2 linked regions of the Macaca fascicularis genome follow. The protein of the gene in region 1 interacts with the protein of each later gene in a pairwise test. Links are inferred from orthologs where the notes say so. Each region holds a gene or a part of one and is shown in the gene's direction. Other genes may lie near its edges.

Region 1 (5,602 bases):
GAGGCCAGCCCTCTCACTGATGTGCTGCGTGACCGTGGGCGGGTCCCACCCCCTTTCTGTGCCTCAGTCTCCCCTTCTGCAGAACAAGGACTGGATTGGGTGTTCTCTAAGGGCCCTCCCAACTCTTAACAACGGGCAGCTCCCTCCTGCCACTTTCCAGTAGAAACTCAAACTAGTTCTAATCATGCGGTCAGCCAGAGAAATCGGGTTTATTAAGACTTACTGTGTGCAGGCAGTCACGTAGATGCGTCAGAACGTCAGACCTGGCCACGTCATCATCTGCTGGTACAGAAGATAAGCTTTGAGCCTAGAGAAGGTGGTCTGAATTCAGATCCCCACTGTAGGGCTTGTGACACCTTGGGGGTCTCACTCAATCTCTCTAAGTCTTTGTGGCCCATCTACACATGGGCATCCTGATAGGACCCACTCCACGGGGATGTTGACATGGGGCAGGATTTGAACTAAAGCCTGCTTGATTCCACAGCCTGGCTCTGAATTAATGAGGCAAATTCTTTGCTTCAAAGCCAAAGCAAGCAAACAGAAATGAACACAAAATATCCAACCTGCCGAACGCTCTATGTTCACGCCAGACCCCCATGCATGCATCCTCTGAGTGCTCCTTGTTGAGACCCGTCTGCCACCCGCCAATTGCCTTATTAAAGGTAGCGCCTGGTACCAACGGCCCAGGTGCAGCCACATCTCTGTGGCCGAATGGGCGTCCCCCTGGCAGGCGTGGCCCACACCTGCACTGTCTGATCTGACAGCCAGAGGCCCTGGCAAGAGGCAGGTATCCTGGAGCATGCAGAGAACATCAGCTTCCACGCCAGGAAGCTCATCTCCTCCCAGCTCTACTGCATGCTGGCTCTGGCACTTTGGGCAAGAGCTAGTCACTTTTACTCTCTGAGCCTCAATTTTCCTTCTGTAAAATGGATTGTAATAATAAGCCCATCTATATCTTGTAGCGAGATGTAGCTGTGATACAGTCTGGAAAGCACGTGTCATACAGACAGGCAGCTAATGAATGTCACACTCTGGAACTGGACACCTTTGGTTCCAATTCTGGCCCTACCACTCTCGAGCTGTGGAAGTGCTCTGGACCTCCATTTTCTCATCTGTAAAATGGGTACAATAATGGCACCAACCTCAGAGGGCTACTATGAGGGTGAAATAAGGGGATAATGGTACTACCTAGTTCACAAGTTTGTCTTAATGAGCTATTCCATGTGGTGCAGGAAAACATGCCTGGCGTAGAGAAAATACCAAGAATGTGAGCTGTCATGTGGGTGGCCCAGGTGGAGAGACTTGTCCCAAGCCTGGTTGCTCTTTGAACGTGTAGCCTGGCCTATGATCGCTTACCTAAAATCTCCCTGCTTTTCCCACCTTCTCCTTTCTGATACCCCTGTTTGACATAGGTGAGATTGGATAGATCAAGGTGTTCAGGGCCTCCAGGCAGGGATGGGGCTACGGGCACGTAGGACTGGGACCCAACCCCTCAGCCTGGACTCCACCCCACGCTTTCTGAGCCATCCATCCTTCTCAGGAAACTGACAGAGCCACCCTGCCACTGGTACCAGCATTGACACCCACCTAGAGGTCCAAGGGGCAGCCCCAGGGCAGAGGAGATTTTGAGAGCCCACACCCCTGACCTGAGTGGGGAGGGGTTGAGCCTCTGGGCCACAGACCGCAGGTGCTGACTCATGGCCTCCGCTGGGCGGTATAAAGGAACCAGCCCGGGGGCTTCCTACAGCCAGAGGGACCAGCTAACCAGACAATGGCCCAGGGGACATTGATCCGTGTGACCCCAGAGCAGCCCACCCATGCCGTGTGTGTGCTGGGCACCTTGACTCAGCTTGACGTCTGCAGGTGAGCGGGGGACCTTCTGGGGTTTTGGGGGCAGGTCAGGAGATGCTGGATGAGCCAGTTCTACTGACACAGAGCATGTGTTTGGCCCAGGCTCCAGGCTCCAGGCTCCAGCCTCTGCAGCCACTGCCAGGGGAGCAGCTGGAGAGAGAAGATCCCAGCAGCCGTGGGAAGTGCCAGTCTCATGGCTGTGGGTTTTTTGCCATGTACAAGTGCAAATTCCCCAGGACCACACCACAGATAAATTATTGTGGGGCAAACTAGGCCAGCCATCTTCCTGTCTTCATCGAGGCAACAGAAACTTACAGAGGGTCTGTGATTTGCTCAAGGTCACACAGCAAGTGTGCCCTGGAAGTAAGTTTAGCCCCTGGGCCTCCTGGTTCACAGCACAGTTTGTTACCCCACATCTCTTAGCTAAGCTTCTCCGTGGGTGTGTAATAGTGTGGGTGGGGATGGTGAAACGGAGCTCTCTGGCGTGGCAGAGACTGAGGTAGGAAGCCTGGACCTGCTGTTGGCTAGCTGAGAGGCCTTGAGCAACTGAGCCTCAGTTTCCTCATCTGTGAAATGGGGATAATACTCACATCACGGGCTGGTTATAGGAATTCAATATGAAAAAATGTGCAAATGTTGGTTGAGTACTTAGCACAGTGGTGGGCCCATCCCTGGTAGTTTTTTTTTTTTTTTTTTTTTTTTTGAGACGGAGTCTCGCTCTGTCGCCCAGGCTGGAGTGCAGTGGCGCGATCTCGGCTCACTGCAAGCTCCGCCTCCCGGGTTCACGCCATTCTCCTGCCTCAGCCTCCCGAGTAGCTGGGACTACAGGCGCCCACAACCGCGCCCGGCTAATTTTTTGTATTTTTAGTAGAGACGGGGTTTCACCGTGGTCTCGATCTCCTGACCTTGTGATCCACCCGCCTCGGCCTCCCAAAGTGCTGGGATTACAGGCGTGAGCCACCGCGCCCGGCTCCTGGTAGTTTTTATTCACTCATTTAACAAACGCTGTTTGCCATATGCCCTGTGGCAGGGTCTGGGTTAAACAAGAGAGTGGAGGAACACTCTCAGGGAGTGTGCAGGGTCATTGTTGTTATTGTAGAACAGGAATTAAAAGAAATTTTAAAATGTGTAAGCAGAAACTCAGCTCTGTGTTCAAACAAACAAACAAACAAAAACAATTTTCCCTGAAAAAAAAAAGAACTGGAGTCCCTTAAAAATGAACTGCCTGGTTTTTTTTGTGGCTAGGAAGCCTTATTGCTGCTCCTTTCCCAGGCACAGTGAAGACCCCGTTTCTCTAGCTGTGCAGCTGCAAGGCCACTAGACAGATACACTCAAGCCATAAAACATGTCTTTCCTTAAAAAGTAAAAAATAATATAATGCATGTCTCAATTAAATAACTGTCTTTATTTCTTTCCCCCTGCACAGATCTCTCCCCACCCTGTGAAATGCTTAAAATATAACTTAACTCTTTGTTCAGGGCTCGGTCTTTTTAAATGTGAATCCGACTGAGCCAGTGCACCTAAATAATAAATCCTCCTCAACCCCTCGGTCTCTCTGATTCCTGAATTATCCTGCAACAATTACTGTTGTCAGGAATAGGAGTGGTTGCCCCTGGCTTCCCCAGCCCAGGCTGGGCATCGGTGGCCCTAGAATGGTGCCCATAGGAGTGTCAGGGACATTTCTTTTTTTTTTTTTTTGAGACGGAGTCTGGCTCTGTCGCCCAGGCTGGAGTGCAGTGGCCTGATCTCAGCTCACTGCAAGCTCCACCTCCCAGGTTCACACCATTCTCCTGCCTCAGCCTCCTGAGTAGCTGGGACTACAGGCGCCCACCACCTCGCCCGGCTAGTTTTTTGTATTTTTTTTAGTAGAGACGGGGTTTCACCGTGTTAGCCAGGATGGTCTCGATCTACTGACCTCGTGATCCACCCGTCTCGGCCTCCCAAAGTGCTGGGATTACAGGCTTGAGCCACCGCGCCCGGCCAGGGACATTTCTTTGCAAGTGTCACTTGCTGCCTGAGCCCCAGCTGCCAGATAACAGCAGTAAATATCAGATGGTCTCCCAGGGCCACATGAGGGAGGCAGGAGACCAAGAAGTTGGGGAGAAAAGGAAAAAGAAAATCACCTGACATCGTTTGAGGCACCCGCAACTCCTCTGAGGATGAGTGTGGAGGAAATGACAGGGCCTCGCCCAGCATGCGCAGGCTAACCCTCTACCCAGCGTCTGGGAGTAGTGATCAAGATCACAGGTGCTTCCTCTGGCCCTGGAGAGGTGGGTGGACAGCTGGTCAGGGTTGGGCAGAGAGGAAGGCACTGCTCATTTCTCCCAGAAATGATGGGGACTCTGGAGTTCCCAGGTGCCTCGAAACCCTTCTTTTCTCCTCCTTCAGCTACACATTGAGCCCTGTCACTCTATCCCCTGAACATCTCACATAACAATGGCTAATATTTACATCACACTTACTACATTCAACTCATTCAACGGCCTCGGGAGGCTGTTAATGTTGTTATTCCCATTTTATAGAAGAGGAAACGGAGGCTCCAAGAAGTTAAGTAACCCACCTCAAGCCACACAGCTAGTAAGTAGGGGAGACAGGACTCAACCCAGGCAGCATGACTCTAGGACCCTCCTCTCTCCCCATGGGTCCCCAGTCCAGCCCTTCCTGTTGCTTCTTATCTGTTCCTAACATAGCCCCAGACAGTGCCTCCCTCCCATCTCCTGAGCAGCCATCAGCCTCTTCATGAACCACATAGGTGGGAGGGCCACTCCCCCCTTACCTCCACCCACATATGCATACCTCCATACCTTTGCTCAAGCCATTCTTTCTGTCCCCAAAGTCAGGAACCCGGGAGGCAGAGGTTGCAGTGAGCCAAGATTGGGCTACTGCACTCCAGCCTGGGCGACAGAGTGAGACTCTGTCTCAAAAACAAGAGGCAAAAATACCTACCCGAGGGTCACATCAATTAAAGGTGGCAAGCCGGGTGCGGTGGCGCACGCCTGTAGTCACAGCACTTTGAGAGGCCAAGACGGGCAGATCACTTGAGGCCAGAATTTCGAGACCAGTCTGGCCAACATAGGGAAACCCCGTCTCTACTAAAAATACAAAAAAGTTAGGAACCATGCCATGATGCACAGGACAGAATAAATAAAGCATTATGATGGCCAGGCACAGTGGCTCACGCCTGTAATCCCAGCACTTTCGGAGGCAGAGACGGGCGGATCACAAGGTCAGGAGATCAAGACCATCCTGGCCAACATGGTAAAACCCTGTCTCGACTAAAAATACAAAAATTAGCCGGGCATGGTGGTGCGCAGCTGTAGTCCCAGCTACTTGGGAGGCTGAGACAGGAGAATTGCTTGAACCCAGGAAGCAGAGGCTGCAGTGAGCCGAGATCATGCCACTGAACTCCAACCTGGGCGACAGAGACTCTGTCTCAAAAAAAAAAAAAAAAATTAGATGGGAGTAGTGGCACATGCCTATAATCCCAGCTACTCAGGAGACTGAGGCACAAGAGTTGCTTGAACCTGGGAGGTGGAGGTTGCAGTGAGGGAAGATTGCACCACTGCACTCCAGCAAGGGCAACAGAGTGAGACTCTGTCTCAAAAAGAAAAAAAAAAAGTTAAAGGTGGCAAAGCCAGGACTGTCTGACCCTAAACGCCCCCTACTTCCCAGCACACCTGGCCTCCAAATGCTGTGGAGTGGACCCCCCTGGGCACTGCTCCCTGTGGGCAGAGCTCATTCAGCTTCCAAA
Region 2 (5,589 bases), on another chromosome or scaffold:
AAATATGGTCAAATAAATGTTCAAAATCCAAACTCAGCCAAGTTCAAGGTTTCTCAACCCTGGGGATTTCCCTAATGTAATTGAAAAGCTATTATTCAATGTCCTCTGAGCATCTTCTGAATCTCTGCACTGGATTATACTCCATCATCTAATTTATTTATTTATTTTTTTACTATTAACATTTTTAATTGTATCATATTTGTAGCTGTTACATTGTGAATAGCACAAAAAATGGCAAATAATCTCCCAATATTTAAAAAGTATTATCCAATGCAGCAAGGAAGTCACATCTTTTATACCCTAAAAAAGTTAGCCTCTGGCTGTGGCTTCCCCAGTCTGGTCTGAGCGCAAATATCGGCAGAAGCGGGCAGTGAGGGGGCAGTGAGCTGGGGCTGGACGCACCCACCTAGTAAAGATTATTTGAGCGCGGTGCCAACAGCGTCTGCTTCATTCCTAACCTTTATTTTTTTCGTGTAGCCTAATTTTTTCTTTCTTTTTTTTTAGAGACAAGTTTTCACCATGTAGCCTAGGCTAGTCTCCCAAACTCCCGGCCTCAAGCAACCACCTGGGCCTCCCAAAGTGTTGGGATTATAGTCTGAGCCACCTCACCCAGACTAACTGTTGCTTGTAAGGGATGCAGTGTCTCTCTAATCTTGCTGAGGAAATGAATTATCTGTATTTCATTTCTTCCTACTGTTTGCCCTTTAATTTTTTGTTTTGTTTTGTTTTTGTTTTTGTTTTGAGACAAGGTCTCACTCTGTCGCCCAGGCTGGAGTGCAGTGGTGCAGTCATAGCTCACTGCAACATTGACCTCCTGGGCTTAGAGTGATCCTCCTGCTTCAGCCTGGCCAGTAGCTGGGACTACAGGCGTGGCTACGCGCCCGGCTAGTTATTTTACTTATTTTTTCTTTTTTTTTCCGTGACAGTGTCTCGCTCTGTTGCCCAGGCCGGTGTGCGGTGGCGCAGTCTCAGCTCACTGCAGCCTCCACCTCTCCGGCTTGGGGGTTTCTTCCACCTCATCCTACTGAATAGCTGGGACTACAGGCGCATGCCACCACACCCAGCTAATTTGTGTGTGTGTGTGTGTGTGTGTGTGTGTGTGTGTGTTTTGATATGGGATTTCACCACGTTGGCCAGGCTGGTCTCGAACTCCTGGGCTCAAGCGATCCACTTGCCCTGGCCTCCCAAAGTGCTGGGATTACAGGCGTGAGCCACCGTTCCCAGCCTTAATTTAAGTTATCACATGCAGACAAAAGAGGCAGAACCAGTTTTAGTATCCAAATCAGTCTGATCCTAAAACCCATGCTCTAAACCATATTAAACCACCTTTTAAAATTACATCTTAATGAAATAATTTAATGTTACCTCTCCAGCTTTAAGGGTGCCATTAACCACTTATATTTTGATGTGTCGGATAGAAAACACTCCCCAAACGGGCTATTCTCTGTTTTTTAAAAAAATTGAATGTGCCTATAGACTCAACGGATTCATTCTGCAAGCATTCACTACGTGGTGGAATCGGTGCTGGGCATGGGTGCTAAGACGACCTAGCCCTAGTTGGTGGCTTCAAGAGGCTGTGTCCAGCAGGGGAAGCAGATATAAAAACACAACACTATTACAAGGGATGAGCGCCGCGCCAAGTCGAACCTGGGAGCCACGGACAGTGTCTAAACCTCAGTCACTCACAGGAGTATAGAGAAAGATCCGGAGCTGCTCCTAACTCCTACTCCAAAGCTTTCCCGGCCTGCTGGGCGCACAGGGAAGAGGGAAGTGCTGGAAACTTTTGGGAATGTGTTTTCCTGTAAAAGAGGGAAATGAAAAGTACCCTTCAGATTTCACTTTCTACTTTTCCGGCCACGGGCTCAGCACTAGCCTGCCGTTGGGAGAGAAACGGTTTTCCGGGGTTGGGGGAAGCGTGGATTCGAGGCGGGACTGCGGCTCCGCGCGGAGATGGGCGCGGCAGGCGCAGGGAGGAACTGGCGAGGTGGCCCGGGCTCGGCCCTCCGAGGGTGTGGAGCGCCCAGGACACGGGGACCCCGAGAATCCAACTGCTCCCACCCTGCGGGACCAGGAGCGGGGCTGGCGGTACTGGCGGCATTATCCAATCCGGGCAGGGGGCGAGGCCGGGGGATCCGGCCGGCCTGGGGCGCGGGCACGTGTGGAGGGCGGACCCGCCGAGGGTCGAGGCCCGCCCCTCAGAGAGCGCCGGGCGCTGCTGTCCCGGCCCGGGGCCCCAGGTGCGCTTCGCCTAGAGAGGGATTTTCCGGTCTCGTGGGCAGAGGAAAAACCAGGAACTCGGGCTCAGTCTCCACCCCAAAGCGGGGCGGATCCGTCCCGGATAAGACCCGCCGTCTGGCCCTCAGCAGGGTGTGACCTCCGCAGCCGCAGAGGAGGAGCGCAGCCCGGCCTCGGTATGAGGGGTAAAGGGGCTCCGGGCCGGGGGTCCTGGGCTCGGGGAACGGGGAACATGGCCCGGGAGGGTTTCGCGGGGATGCCCGGCTCCGCGCTGCGCCCTAGAGTGGGTGCTCGGCGCCGGCTTGCGGGCAAGCCCGGGCGGCCACAGGGTGGAAGGGGCCAGCGGGCCCGGGACTCGCTCCGGGTGGGCGAGAGGGAGGCGAGTGCGGCGCCTAACCACTGGCACCATCCAGACATCCAGGGCCGCTTACACAGCTCAGGACGCGGATCAGAGACCACGGCAGCTATTTATTCGGTCCGTGTGCTGGACTCCGGCATCAAAAAGAAAGGACCGAGATAATCTTGACCGTAACTAACTGCGCCTAACACCTCTTACAGTTTACTTTTTGATTCTTTCTTTACTCCATTTAAGAAACTTATTCCTTTCTCCTAGATCCTTACTATTGTCTTACCTTCTTGTGTGTCTAATGCCCTCGGCACAGTGCCCGGCACATCGGAGTCTGATCATTATAGGGTCCATGACTTGAGTTGGCTGGTGGCTCAGTCTCACCAGTTTGTCATGACTTTGACCAGCTGGAGACTTTGGGGCCAAAGAGGATTGCTTCTCAACAATTTGCCGGCAGAAGTGCCCCCCGGGTCAATGCAAGTCTTCTGAGCTGATAGAGCAGAGTGGGTCCTGCATAACTCGTGCTTTTCTTGGAACTCGGCATCTGCTCTCTCCTGCTGACAGTGGGAAGGATAGATAGGGTGGCGCTCTCCAAGTTATCCATTCTCCTGCCCACCAGTCCATGACACCCCACCACCCCTTTCCATTCCCTACTGTTTGCCCTTTAATTTTTTGTTTTGTTTTGAGACGCAGTGTCACTTCTGAAGCCCAGGCTGGAGTGCAGTGCCTGGATACAGCTCACGCTGTCTCCCAGGCTCAGGTGTTTCACCCACCTCAACCTCCTGAGTAGCTGAGACTACACGTGCATGCCACCACGTGCCTATAGTCCCAGCTACTCAGGAGGTAACTGGTAACTATTGATAATCAAACCCCAGATTTTTTTTTTTTTTTTTTTTTGAGATGGAGTCTTGCTCTGTCGCCCAGGCTGGAGTGCAGTGGCTCGATCTCGGCTCACTGCAAGTTCTGCCTTCCGGGTTCACGCCATTCTCCTGCCTCAGCTTCGCGAGTAGCTGGGACTACAGGCACCCGACACTGTGCCCGGCTATTTTTTTGTATTTTTAGTACAGACGGGGTTTTGCCATGTTGGCCAGGCTGGTCTTGAATTCCTGACCTCAGGTGATCCACCTGCCTCAGCCTCCCAAAGTGCTGGGATTACAGGCATGAGCCACCATGCCCAGCATCCAAACCCTAGGTTTTTCGTTGCCAGGGAATTCTCAGACACAGATGGAAGAGCAAGTAGGAGAGGAAGTGGACAGGAATAAGAAAATGGATAACCCCAGTGACCCAAGAACTGCTGACTCCCCAGAGCCCTATCAGGCCAAGGCCATCCTCATTCAGCTCATGTCAGATTTCTGTTGATTGAGGATATAGACGCAAGTACACCCCTGCCCCCACTCACACGTAGACAGGCACAGGCACAGGCACACAGCTACTGGATCAAGGGCTTCTATGAATTTCCCTCCTGGATGTTCTTGCATTTGGTTAGGGATCATTTTTCTCTGCAAGCAATTTAGAGGGTAACCCGCACAGTCAAGCCGTGTACCACTCCAGGCCTTAGTATTTAAAGGGTGAGTCTCCTGGTCATCCCCAGGCTCATGTCCAGTGGCATGTTTCTTTGTTTATGTCCAGCCACTCTTTTGTTTTCCTGAGCTCACTTATTATCTGATTGTAGACTAAGCCTGCTTTTCTCCGAGGGAGATCAAGATGAGTGGCAGGCACTGGGGATGGTGGGCAGTGTGCCAGGGAGTACCTGAAGTTCCAGAATAAACAAGCAGTGGGGAGGCCTGGACAACATAGCAAGACCCCATCTCTACAAAAAGTTTAAAAATTAGCTGGGCATGGTAACGCCCACCTGTAGTCCCATCTACTTGGGAGGCTGGAGAGGGAGAGTCGCTTAAGCCCAGGAGTTCAAGGCCACAGTGAGTTATGATCACACCACTGCACTCCAGCCTGGGTGATAAACAAACAAGCAAGCAAACAAACAAAAGCAAGAGGAGGAGATTTTCTTTGTCATTTTTACACAAATATTTCAGATTAAAAACACTTTTTATACTAAAACAATCACAGATATATTTTGAAGTAGAATCCAAAAATTATATACCTTTTAAATCTAAAACAAGAAACCTGGAAAACATTTTGCTTGGGATTTGGGCTGCGATTTGGTCCAAACCTAGCCCTTGAGGGTTTGTTTTCACTGCAATTAGGGCTACGTATGGAGGCAGTTTGATAGACACTGCAGTGTCCTCCCTGGAGCAACTTTTAATAACACTCATCTTAGACTGTCTTATCTAATCTTCACTTCAACCTGCAGTGGGGTTATTAACATTGGTTTACAGCTGAGGATCCTAAGGTTCCATATCATCATCCTTGGTCAAGTTCAGACCATTTGTGAACTAAAGCTTAAATCCAGCTGCCAGGATACAAAAGCCTGTTCTCTTTTTTTTTTTTTTTTTTTTTTGAGACGGAGTCTGGCTCTGTGGCCCAGGCTGGAGTGCAGTGGCCGGATCTCAGCTCACCGCAAGCTCCGCCTCCCAGGTTTACGCCATTCTCCTGCCTCAGTCTCCTGAGTAACTGGGACTACAGGCGCCTGCTACCTCTCCCAGCTAGTTTTTTGTATTTTTTTAGTAGAGACGGGGTTTCACCGTGTTAGCCAGGCTGGTCTCGATTTCCTGACCTCGTGATCCGCCCGACTCGGCCTCCCAAAGTGCTGGGATTACAGGCTTGAGCCACCGCGCCCGGCCCAAAAGCCTGTTCTCTTATCCTCTCCGCCCTACCATAACTCCATCAGTGCTTGGTTCATAGTAATTTGGAGTTGTGGCTTCGTAGGTTGTTAACTAAATCTTGAACAAATGTTTTTCTTTTTCTTATTTTCTTCTTGTCAAGCTGATGTGAAATGGGGTTGGATGAACTAGAACTGTTTCAGCTGGAAAGGGAGTGCACCTGTTGTCCCAGCTACTTGGGAGCCTGAGGTAGGACGATCCCTTGAGCCCAGGAGTTTGAGACTGCAG

Evidence for each region.
Region 2: the proteins of PADI4 (region 1) and ANXA4 interact in binary tests that used the Homo sapiens proteins (3 or more experiments, as listed by UniProt). The two-hybrid records come from large-scale screens. The link is inferred for Macaca fascicularis from reciprocal best matches to the Homo sapiens genes PADI4 and ANXA4.

Annotation. Positions count from the first base shown.
Region 1 is NC_088375.1:217,809,868-217,815,469, reverse strand, and holds the start of PADI4 (protein-arginine deiminase type-4), read left to right. Parts: upstream 1-1,745; 5' UTR 1,746-1,771; coding exon 1,772-1,863; intron 1,864-5,602. UniProt on the Homo sapiens protein: Catalyzes the citrullination/deimination of arginine residues of proteins such as histones, thereby playing a key role in histone code and regulation of stem cell maintenance.
Region 2 is NC_088387.1:52,197,656-52,203,244, reverse strand, and holds the start of ANXA4 (annexin A4), read left to right. Parts: upstream 1-2,369; 5' UTR 2,370-2,411; intron 2,412-5,589. UniProt on the Homo sapiens protein: Calcium/phospholipid-binding protein which promotes membrane fusion and is involved in exocytosis.